2 linked regions of the Drosophila melanogaster genome follow. The protein of the gene in region 2 interacts with the protein of the main gene of each other region in a pairwise test. Each region holds a gene or a part of one and is shown on either strand. Other genes may lie near its edges.

The links.
Region 1: the proteins of CG31886 (region 2) and CG3702 interact in a two-hybrid assay, tested with the Drosophila melanogaster proteins (one large-scale study listed by BioGRID).

What each region holds. Positions count from the first base shown.
Region 1 is NT_033779.5:4,224,150-4,228,735, forward strand, and holds CG3702 (uncharacterized protein), read right to left. Parts: upstream 2,949-4,586; 5' UTR 2,740-2,948; coding exon 2,698-2,739; intron 2,619-2,697; coding exon 735-2,618; 3' UTR 501-734; downstream 1-500. Other genes in the region: RpL40 (ribosomal protein L40), read left to right, coding at 3,876-4,262.
Region 2 is NT_033779.5:8,952,834-8,961,142, forward strand, and holds CG31886 (uncharacterized protein), read right to left. Parts: upstream 6,219-8,309; 5' UTR 6,145-6,218; coding exon 6,045-6,144; intron 5,281-6,044; exon of another isoform or gene 4,685-5,280; intron 2,975-4,684; exon of another isoform or gene 2,880-2,974; coding exon of another isoform or gene 2,849-2,879; intron 2,754-2,848; coding exon 1,189-2,753; 3' UTR 648-1,188; downstream 1-647. Other genes in the region: CG9525 (uncharacterized protein), read right to left, coding at 7,485-8,309.

The DNA of each region.
Region 1 (4,586 bases), 4.7 Mb from region 2:
TCAAAAATTCCTCATGTAAAAAAGATTTTTCTTGGATTTAGTGCTTTCTAAATATTAGGTTTGTAACGAATTATTTTTGAGTTCAGTTCAAATTTGGCGCGCTCCATTTTCAGTGCTGTAAATTGCCAATGGGTAGTGCTGTATAATGTGAAAACTTATATGTACCCGCTTTGCGTACCTGTACCTAAATTCAATTGTATTTAATTATTTTAGAAAATTATGAGTGAAGTTCATTTGACAAGAAAAAACCATCAATGGGACTCAAGTTGCTTTAGAAAATATAAATTAAAAAATCGATTGATAAACCGATATATAAGTTAATTTAGTTGCCACTATCCATTGATTTAGAAACCTTGTATCTTTCCAAAATGAGGTGATAATTATCTGGGCCATCTGGCCAGTATATATGTACATATTTTCAAGCGCCCTGATAAGCAAGCTTATCTACCCATTTGTCTAGCCCACTCAGCGGGCTGCAGATTAGATAATAGCAGTGGCATATGGATCATCTCACGCTTAATTTATTAGATCTTCCAACGCTGCGAGAAGCGCGGAGGGCAGGGGAAAACAAAAACACAAACATACGTACATACAATTAGCCCTAAGAATGATTCTATCGGGATTACTTGACTATGTATACTGGATAGTGATTACATACATATTGGGGGAGTGGAGTATATGGTATTGCGTCTTCTAATGCTAATGCATACTGTGGTCACAGCTCTGCACTCCTTCTAATCCTGCTTCTTTTGTGCAGCTGTCTTTTTGATCGCTGGCGCAGCCTGGGGACCTTCGATGGCTCCATTGGCTGTCTTGCCCTCCAGCTTCTGGGCGGCATGCTGCTGCTCCATCTCCCCGGAGAAGCCGAACTCATTCACGCGCTTCAAATCGACGCGATACTGCCAGCGCTGGTAGAGGAACACAAAGAAGATGATGTCGTCGCGGAAGCAACCCAACCGGTACATTGTGGGCATTTTGATCACAAACGCAAAGATGTCATCGATAAAGGTGTTGAGGAACTTGTAGGTCATCATGCGCCACGGCATGTGGGCCACCGACTTTAGCTTGTAGTTGATGAATAGCTGCGGCGTCATCAGGATGAAGCCAAAGGTCAGCAGATAGCCGTACAGCATGTTGAGCACAAATGAGTACCAGCCCTTGTGCTCGTTGTAGATCAACGAGTAGACAAAGTAGGCCACCAGGAGCGGGAAGCATGCCCAGCCCAGGTACTTGAAGGCCAGTTTGTCATAGTCTTTGGTCGAGCTCTCCGAATAGGAGCCCTTGTCCTGGAAACTGATTCTCGGCAGCACTCCCAGAATCTTTTGATCGTGATCGTAGTTGATATCCACGACCTTGTGAATCTTCCACACCTCGATTCCCAGTCCCACGAAACAGGAGATGCGAATCATGAAGTTGGTCTCGTTGTCCAGCACGTACAGCAGGATGATTAGTGACTGGAAGACACCGAAGAACACCGATCGTACAGACAGTCCTTCGAGCGACTTGCGATTGTTCCAGAACTGAATGTCGTTCTTGAAGGCCAGCAGTTCGAACACCGAATGCAGTATGGAAACGGCCACTGTGATGCCCAGCAGGTAGATATTGGTGTCCAGCAGAGTCTCCTTCAGCGAGTCCTGATCCTCGTCACTCTCCTCCGGCTGGCTGGCGGCCATCAGCTCACCGAGCATATTGCCAGCCCACTTGTTCTTCATCTGTTTGGCGGCATACAGCTGCCACTTGAACATGCCCAGCGGCTGGAAAGTGAGGTGCAGCTCCAGTTCGGGAGTGGTCTCATTAATGGGTTGATACTCCCGCTGAAGATTCCAGTAGTCGTTGACGAACAGGATGGGCAGATAGGTCTTACCGCCGTCTACGAACTTTACGTAGTCATCCAGTGGCGGCGGCACAGATCCCTCGGCCCAGTTAGTTTGGTCCACTACGAGATTGACCGTGAGATTAGGATGCCAGTGAGACACGATGGTATCCTTGAGATTCGCATGCTTGAGCTCGTGCTCCAACTTCTCCTTCTCGCTGGCCAGCAAGTTGTAGTTGCGGTTCACACGCAACTTCTTGAACTTGTTCAGCTGATGTTGCTGGTGGCCCATTTTGGTGGCGTAATTCGGGGCTTTGGGATCGGGACTCATGCCGGTACGCGTGACAAAGGCATGTAGGTACACACTGCCATTGTTCATCAGATGCTGGCTGGTCTTAAGCTTCAAACTGTGCGTGTAAATGCCATCTCCGTTGACGCCCGACGTCCAATCGCCATAGGTGAGGTCCTTCTGTAGCCAGAGGAGATTCGCCTTTTGCTGGAAGTTAACCACATCGGGATTCTCCGACAACCACACGTGCAGGTCAAAGTCCGTGCCGTTCTCGAAGTAATTCCAGGCCGTGATCTTGGGACCCGCATTAGCGACACTTTTGCCTTGACTGGCGGCATCGGGCGCAGGTCGTCGGAAAAAGGAGCTCACAAAGTAGATGATCAGGGCACGCAGGATGAGGGACTTGGTCATCGCAAAGAAGGACTCCATGCGGGTGGGCTGATTCGGCGGGGGTTGTTGTTGCTCATTCTGGCCTTCATTTTGGGCCAGCTCAGCGTTACCATTGCCCGCAATCACCTAGAAAAAACGATGAGAACCAGGTCGCTATTGTCAGGTGATTGGGGTTGAGAAAGGTTTAAGTTTCTCAGATACTTACCGCACCCTCTGCTGCGGGCTGATCTTCGCCTGCTTTCGACATGCTCTGTTCTCAAGGGTTTTCCACGCTTTTCCCTTAGTTTCCCGTTTTCCGCACAACTTGTGCTACTGTCATCGATAGGTAAGTGTTGAGGACCTATCGAGCCATTAGAACTTCGATATCGAAAGGGGTATTTTTCAGAATCTATCGATTTGACGCAGAATGGAAAAGCACGGTGTTCTCACTATAAAGACATACTTTTTTCACTAAGTCAAATACAAATTTATTTATTATATGTGACATATTTAGCAATACACATTTTTAGAATATCGTTGGCTTAAATGTATATCCCTTACTTACTTATACTTACTTACTTACTTATACTTATACAACCTAGTATTCAATTATTGTTCTTAGTAAAATGGACAGCAACTTGAATATTTTTGTATAAATTCAAAAGGTTTAATATCTGAAAAAATATTTCATAAATTCATTAAAAATATAATTTAAATCGATTAGGCGGTTTTTCAATAAAAAAAAATATGCGTAATATGTAATATTTGAACCTTATCTAAAATATAATTCTATATACAAGTTTTGATTTCAATTTATTTGTATACAATGCAAATAGCATTTTCATGCCATAATAATATAATTTTGAATTAGCTTAGCTATCAGTGAGGTAGCGTTGGGCTATAAAAAAACACGAAAAACTATATGTTGATATTGTAAAGTTGGTCTCGGTTCAAATGGTAAAGATATTTTGCATTAATTAATTTGAGTGTCTGAATATTTTTTACAGTTCCATTTAGAATGTTTTGGTATTTAAAAAATAGTATTTTGGTATATTTGCAGTGCTCGGCGGCGGCCACACTCTCTTTTCCCTTTTTCTTTTGAATAGCATTTGGTTGCACGTTTCCTCTGGTGAGTTTCCATTAAATATATTAAAAATAAACGAAAAATCGCAATAACGTGGCAGAATGTAAACATATTGTTGTTTAGTGACGTATTTGTGATATGAAAAAGATGGACACTGGTGCTTGTCGACCGGTGGAGCTGTTTCTGTCGAACGAAACATGCCAGCAAGTCGGACCTAACCTCCAATCTTTGCCCGCTCTTTGGGACGCACAAGTTCGCTAAGAAATCGTACGATTTGGTACTGATTTATGTTTTATATTGCTTTCAGTGACGCCGCCATTATGCAGATCTTCGTGAAAACCCTCACCGGCAAGACCATCACCTTGGAGGTGGAGCCTTCTGACACCATCGAGAATGTCAAGGCTAAGATCCAGGATAAGGAGGGCATTCCCCCAGATCAGCAGCGTCTGATCTTCGCCGGCAAGCAGCTGGAGGATGGCCGCACTCTGTCCGACTACAACATTCAGAAGGAGTCCACCCTGCACTTGGTGCTCCGCCTGCGTGGTGGTATCATTGAGCCCTCGCTCAGGATTCTGGCCCAGAAGTACAACTGCGACAAGATGATCTGCCGCAAGTGCTACGCCCGTCTGCATCCTCGTGCCACCAACTGCCGCAAGAAGAAGTGCGGACACACCAACAACCTGCGCCCCAAGAAGAAGTTGAAGTAGACTATGATCATCCGTCGACGGTCCAGGCTGGTCTTTCTATCGACAAAACCATGGTTAACCATCTAAGTAAATATATGTACATTTTGTGAAACCACATCTAATCGAAATGTATTGCATTTGCTGCCAAGGCACAGCCTATTTACACCGTGTATGTTTCTGTTTTCCTGTCATCTGTTTTCGTTTGTGGTCTCCGAAGAACGAGTTTCTGCGGTTTTAGGAAGCTCTTATACTGCAATTAGTTGGCCTCTCCGAGATCTCAGTTAGTTTTTCTGCTCTGTTTCTGGTTCTGTCTCGCCACCAGGAAGCGGGCGACAGCAGCAGGTA
Region 2 (8,309 bases):
AAGTCGAGAATACCCTCTTAAGCTACGAGTAACGGGTATAAAAATCGCTGACTGACTTTATTTTTTTTACTGTAATCTTACACATTATCTACACAACCACAAGTATATACAGTGTAGATCAACATTAGATTCGTAGCAATCAGCTTTCATTTGCTGACGTTCCCAACGATCTGCTAAATTTGAATGATGTTTTTTTTTCATTTTTTTTCCCTTCTTTAAAAATAATTTTTTTTTTACTGAATACTGTTTTTACTATTTTATTATTTTCTTTTATAACTTAATCTAATGCAACTATGTTAATCGGATAATCCAAGGCACTTTGTTTACGCTGCTCAATTGAGTGTATGAACTAAAAGACTAGACAGTAAATTTATTCATTTTTAATGAAAATGTTATTTCATTTCTTCCAGGCATGTATGTGTACATGAATTTTATGTAAATATTTGCATTACTCCCGTGGCCAAATTAGGAAAAGACTCACACAAATGATCGGCAAATTAGCTTTGAGTGGTGTGCAAATTAATCTAAAATAACTAGAATCAACAAAATTTTTTTTCTCTCCTAAAACTGAAGCCAGTGGAAAATATTTTGCGGCAACGTTAAAATGTAGACATTGAGTATAAAATGAAAAATTACAACGCTTGATTACAATCAATTTTATTTTTATTAAAAAACTAATGAAAATTTCCTTAAAATTCAAATCACTTATACAAAGTCAACAAAAGCATTAAAACTAATCCTCTTCAAATGACTACATAAGAATTGTCTTTAAAATGTGTTCAGGTAAACAAAAAGATCAAAGTCGTTTATAAAATGAGAATAATTGAATTAATTGATAAGTACTACAATTTCATCTTAAAATTACTTGGTATCTACATTTATTTGTACACGATATACAATTTACATATTTTATCTTACTATTTTCCCATTTTCATTTGTAGACCAAAAAATGCTTGCGTCTTAGGCTACATTCTAGTCTAGCATAAAATCTACGAATATTGATAACGATTTGTTCAGACTGTTCATTCCGTGTGTGTATAACCGATATGGAATATTCTATGGCTATTTTAAAAGCTCTCGTTTTGGGGCCGGCCATAACGTTAACACACTCACAAGCGAGTATATCACCCGGTAGTTACCTCACCATAAATATCACAATAGTATATTAATAATATTGGATCAGGAGGACTACAGGAAGGAGCAGCAAAGGATCAGCACCAGCACCGTAATGGGAAAGATGGCGTATATCTCGCTGCGCGGATGACAGGTGGAGATCAGATTGGTTATATCGTCCTCCTCGTGCTCGATACCATCCCGTGTTGGAACCTCCACCACCACAATCTCATCCGAAAGGAAACTGATGTTGAATGTGCAATTTGTGGTATTCAGACAGCTTTGTGACTCGCTCATGTTTGAGTACTGATACGTCGGCTTGTAAATATCGAATATGGCGTGGATCTCGTTTTGAACGTGATCATTGTCGCTGTAGAATATATAATAGTAGTACCCATCCTCGATGACGTTGTGCACCACCATGGAACTCTTGTTGGGCGAAGTGTCCATTATGTGCGGATTTGAGCATTCATTTTTTGGCCTGAAGAACTCCTGCAGCAGGATCATTCCATTGAAACACTGAAATAGTCCTGTCTCAAAGCTGGACACCGAATTCGACTCGTCCGTTTCCGTAAAATTTATAGCATTTCCTCCATGGATCGTCTTTCTATCGTAGACATTCTCCCTCTTTGATCTTTTATAAAGCGTATCGTAAAGATCCTGTCTCTTCTGATTCCTATGGGCTACCCTATTGTGTCTTTTGAGACGTTCCCGGTGAGGCGGACTTTCCGCACTATAATGGGTCTTACTTGAATTCTGATCTGGATCTTCATCTTCATTTCGTATGTGATTACGACTAGTTTCTTCGTTTGTGATATTCGAACTGTGCTCCCGATGATGGGCAGTACTATTGTGATGATGTGCTGGAGAATTAGAGCTGTGATCATGGTGATTCAATATGTGTTCCGTATGGTGTGATCCTTGCAAATCTGTTATAGCATGCATATCATGTTCGCCATGATGAATTGTGCCCTTTTTCAGTTTTTTCCTAATTAACTTAGGCTGTATAGAATTGTTTTGCTTGACAGGTATGTTCACCTGCGGCTGTGGAATATCCTCAGTCAAATCCTCTCCGCCGTGGTTCTCGTGCTCCATTAGCACATCCTGGTTGCCCTTCTCTTCCGTGATCTCCACATTGTCTTCGAAGAACACCTGCACCTGTTCGTGACCTTTGGCATAATTGGCGCCCAACTTATTCTTATTGTGATCGGTCAGACCGCAAAGATTAAGCTCCCTGTGACCATGGATGATCAGGATGCGGGATCCATCGTAGCGGGAGCAGAATTTCACTCGCACCTTGGCACCTTTCAGCAAGAAGAAGCCCCAGTATTCAAGCGTATCATCCGGCAATGTCATCGACTTCTTCAGCCTAATGTGCTTGCGATTCGTCGCAATTTCCGGCTTATTACGTAGTTGAAAAGCGTTGAAATTGGAGTTCATACGCAGTGTGTGTTTCGAGCAAAAGATCGACGAGATTCCTGCCCGAATCTCAATGATATCGGACTCCGCCATGGGATAGATGACGTCGGCAAACACCGTCTTTCGCAAATGCAGCGGCATAATGATAAGAATGGCCGGCAGTATCACAATCATCAGGCAGAAAACCAGCACCCTTTTCACGCCGTGCATTTTGCGGGTTTCTGCAAATAGAAATGGAAAACAGATATAGATTACTATCTGGAGATAAAAGTTTTTTCTTTTTATATAAAATTTGTTTAATGGCCTGACGGAGCACCTTCAAAGTGATATTCCGTTAACGGCTGCATCCTGACGGCTTTAAATTCGCTGTGACTGTGAAATAGTTTTTCTGCGACAACGTCTGATTGCCAGCCAGGTTTGTTGTACACTGTCTGATTGCGCGATTATCAAATTAGTCTGAGCGAATGGAAGCGGCATGTATTCACGCCTCCCCCTCCTTGCGATCTTATAAGTTCAACGGAGTATTTGTGAGAGGCGAGATTGTATCAACAATCCAACACGATTGTTGATATTGGCCGAGTGTATAACTAAGCTATTCACAAGATTCAATTGGCAGACTCAGATCGATGGCCAACCAAGTGACAGCCGATGTTTGATCGATATTTAGCGACCAGCGACTCTGGATCATTCCCTTCAATTACTGGGCTTTGCGGAAAAAGATTTGCTTATCGTGGTTAACAAGCAAAAATTTAGACCAGGAGCGGTCTCTTTTTCTAGGGTGGCAAATTCGTAGATTTATTTTGAAGTAAAAATAAAAATCTTAAAAATTATCTGCTTATTTTGGTATCCTTTTTTGTAGATCTGATTAAGAATACAAATAATTTATATAATTCTAATATATATAACTTGCATTTTTAAATAAAACACAGTTTACCACAGTTATTAATATTTCATCGTCTGTTAACTTAGTTCTGACAAGTACCTTATGTATAATAGTTTTAATTACTCAGCAATCTCAAATGATTACGCATAGTTTTTGGTACCTTATCAGGGCCTTACCTAATTACCGCCCGCCTAATGATGCCAACAGAGATAAGCCCTGTTTTTTCCCTTATAAAATGATCTTAATATTAGTCTTATCGACGTCAACGCGTTGTGATCAGAAATAAATAAATAAATTCATGTATGCCATACTTATGTGACATAAATATAGAATTTATGGCATACACGAGTTGTGCTTCTTTGTCACGTTTTTGTCGAGTGCTTTTTTAACCCGACTGAAATGTGCGTCGAGATAAAAACAGTATCATAAACAGCTTATCAACGATTTGCTGTTATTCACAGACTCTGGGAGAGAATAAAGAACAAATAAAAAGCCTGCGAAATTCGAAAACTATACCACCTTAATTTGCAAATCTAAGAAAATCATATATTACACAACATTAAATGCTACATTAAGATAGCACACAGAAATATTGAATCAATTTTAAATAATGTTATTCTCTAGTAACCAAACAGTTGCCAGAAATTATTTAAAACTAATTTTTTACATTCACTGATAACAGCTCAATAAATAAATTACGAGTGTTAGTGCCATGATTTTATATACTTTTGGTGCCCTACTTTCAAAAGAATATTGTTATCAGCGATACTATGAACAGACTTGTATTAACCAATGCAATAAGACATATTACTAAGTTAAATGTTACTCATTCATTCTATTTCTGCATACTATTGCCGGTTTCAATTTTCCTTTGTCAGGTTTTCCCGGGTCTTTCCCATGACAACGACACACATATGTGGCCTCAAAAAATGGCATAGGTCGTGAATTATTGGAATTTTATTATGCTTTATATATTGTTTTGCTGAGGTGTCAAGATGATTTAACTAAACAATGTACATTTTGTTTTACCGAGTGTTTTAACTTGCTTCTTTTGTAGTTTTATTTTTAACCAAGATTTCTATTCACAGTGTGTTTCTTTCTTAGCACAACCATTTGTCTTCAGTGTAGTGCGAAAATCCTTGAAATAACCGTAGCCGGTTTTTTTCCGGTTTTGAAAAAGATTTGTAGCCGCCACGGAAATATGCATTTGAAATGCAAAACACCTGTGGAAATGTTATTCTTGTTTGTTTATTTTAGTTTGGCACTTACATTCTGTATCTTCCCTATAGTTTGTTCTATATCTTTGGGATGACAATTGCGATTTGATTTGTGAATTTCACATGTAGTTGTCGATTTCAGTTTCTATTCCTTTGTTTGCATTGCTATTTGCGGTTTAACAAAGTCGCTCAGGTGAGCATATATCCGAAATTAGAAGAATGCATACGTTTAAATATTTTATAAGTCCGAGGAGCGAAGCACACGTGCCGCTTCCCATGGTTATTATCAGAAGCAACTAACTGACTGTTCGTTCAAGCGGTTTGATGTTTTATTTTGACACACATTTTAATCAACAATTTTCTCTATCTCGCTCAACCGCTTATCGCGACACTCTCTCTATTTTTCACTCTTTTATTAACACTTTGTTTCCGCATATCTTTGTTTGTTTTCGAAACACGTCGTGGAATGTTTATAAATAAAGGGTCACTTCAATTGTCTCCTTCACACAACTTAGACCTTTTTCCCCCGTTTTCCAAATGCTTAAATATTTATCCAGGCATTATTATCACGAAATTTTCACAAGACTGGACGACAGAGGAACCAACAAAACGATTCAGTTCACTACAAAGCAATCCAAGAAATGAGACGGGAAACTGACTGAGTGGAAATTTTAACCCCAAACAACTGTAGACGCTCTCTGTGCTCTTTGTTTTAAGCGTGCACTGTAAAAAATTCAACTTCGTATAAAAAATATATTTGCTAAGTTTATTAAAAATTGTGAGTTTAGAATGATTTTGTTATTCTGGTTTTCATTCAAATTAAATATCGGTTTTATTCTTCTTATTTTAAGAAGAAATGTTACGACTTATAGTGAAATATAATTAAGATTTGTTTGAGTGGTTGCTCTCTCTTAAGAGAACGAGAAAAATACTACTAGGGAAACTCATGTGAAGTGAAGTTGGCTGCGCTGAAAAAGTAGGTTTGCAACTCGGCTAACTTGAAGGCGGGAATTTATGATTGTGACGAACATAAATCTTAAATTGAGAAAAATAAAGTAGGGAGGATTAGGAATTTATTATATTTATTTAATAATTTCATTTATTTGTTTAGTATTTGAAAAAAAAATAAAACATGTGTTACATATAATTAATTTAAGTTTAAGGAAAAATTATTGGAATTAATATATGTATTTTAAAATAAAAAAATAGGAGAAATAAAAACTTCTGATGACTTATATTTGGTGGCTTCAGCCTATTTAATAAATACATTTTTGGAGTTTACATTTTTTTAAAGCTTCACTTTCATTTTTTTTTTTTTAGATTTTCGTATAAGTTAACCATATATATGGTAGCTCCAAAATGTCCTTAACTTATAAAAGGACAACTTGCATCTAATTCCCCCCAATACTTACTATGCAAATCCGGCATTGAGTAATAGAAATCCGTGTGATAATAATGCAACTGTCCAGGACTTACTGACGTAGTCCTGTTGAACATCTTTTTGTTGGACATGCTGGATATTTAATTAAATTTCTTTAAAGGAGTGAAAATGAAGACAGAGCTGAACCGACGGCTGCGAATTATCGCAGCGAACTAATGAAATGAATATAATCCAAATCGGGACAGAGCCAACTGTTTGGGATAACGATGACGCTTAGTGCAAACAGTCGTCGCACACTGGTTCATTAAATCAAAAAAAACATTGCGAAAATCGAATTCAATAAAAGGTATCTAAAAAAAAGAAACAATTTTATAAATACTTTATAGTTTATTGATTTTAGGTCCTAATAAACTGCAATATAATTTATATAAATATAATAGTGAAAACTTTAAATTACGCCACTGTGCCTCGGGAGTGCCTGTCCTCATCTGAACTGATACTGATAGTCGCCGACGGCCCATTATCATAATGAATTAGTAAACAATGTTAATAAGTAGACAAAACATAGCCTTTCAAATGATAAGCGGCCAATCATGAGGCAGAAGTTCTGGCTTTCAACCTGGGCACAAGTATCAATTTATCTGACGATTCGACATATTGATTGGATATATAATATGGGACCCAACACAACTTCCGCAGTCCCAAGAATTAGATAAGTGCTTTCATTTCCGCTTTGCAAACTAATGGCATAGCTAATAGCATTGTATAAAGATATAAGATATAAGATTTATTTTCCGGGGTCCGACGACAAAGTTCTTCAGTGTTGTGTGACACCTGTCATTTTTCACCTACATGCAAACAAAGATAAAATTATTTCTTGACGCATCCCGCTTAGTATAAGCGACTTGAGAGTTCTAGATATCAAATAAATTAGGGATTTACAGCACTGTTAATCTTATCTACTGTCAATTATTTTATTGTAAGGGTGGAAAGTTTTGCAACGTAAATGCAGGCTGAATTCAATATGGGTTTGACATTATTTGCTTCTAGGTGTTACATTGGTTGTAGATTTAAGAAATTATTCTCATTTTATAGGTCAATGTATTGTATATAAGTCAAAGTAGAAACATATTGTGAATATTGTGCATTGGCTTGTACATACGTATGCACGCTGAAGTAGATAACAATTAAATTTTTAAACAATGAAATTGTCCCATTCCAGTCGAGAACAAGAGTGACTGGGAGCTGTCCGGATAATGGTAAAATGGATAACTCAGTAACTTATGGGTCTGATTGTGTCACTATCTGTGATTGCTTTTAGCAAGGTTTACCTGAGAAGGTAAAATTGAGATAACCCTGGTTTTAATAATGTTGATATATGGATGGCACCTAGTGCTTTAAGCTTATATTGTTCAAATCACTTGGATTATAACCCAAAAGTATATAGTTAGATAACTAAATTTATCATTAGTTACACCGAAATAACTTCAATGTTCAATGTTTCAATGTTTTGGTCGTTTTCTCGCATGTCTGGTAATTCATATAATTTATCATCTATTTTATTTTTATTCGGTATTAATTTTGTGACCTCTGAAGTGCTGTGATTTTCTAGTATTTGGCTCTTGCATATACAAAACTTTCTGCCTCGCAATCTTCGCATGCAACTCGAGTCATTTTGATAGTTATTCAATCGGTTTATGGACTCCACATTTATATATTCCAGTTCTTGGCGATTATTAGCGTAGCGGATAGTTGTGGAAAATTCTGCATTATTTGGGTTGGCACTGAAATATGCTCTATAGGTGCTGCCACTAGATAATTTTCTATCCTTTCGTTGCAACACCATTTTGACTGATTTCAGTGTAAGATTATGGCACAACTCATGCAAGTTGTGATGGTTAAGGAATTCATTTATACTGCGCACAATTTGCTTTCCCACAGACAATTGTTTCATCTGATTGGAGCTAAGCAGCTTGTAGCTATCACATGGACATTGGGATTCTCCTATGCCAGCATCTGAACAGGTTCGATTTTCGGGAACAGGAGCAAAAAGGGTTTGACAAGTGGGGCAATCCACCAGCTTGTCCACCGCTCGAGGCCAACGTTCTCCCAGTTCCAAGAGGTGTTGCAGTGTAAGATGAAGATCGTATGGTGAAGTCAAACGTTTACTATTGATCCTTAATGCTTGAACTATTTCAGGACGGAATGCTTTAAACCAAGGTGGTAGCCAAATATACAAAATTGGTAAATCTTCTTGAGAAAAGTTCGTTTTCTTTTCTTTTACGGATGACACAGG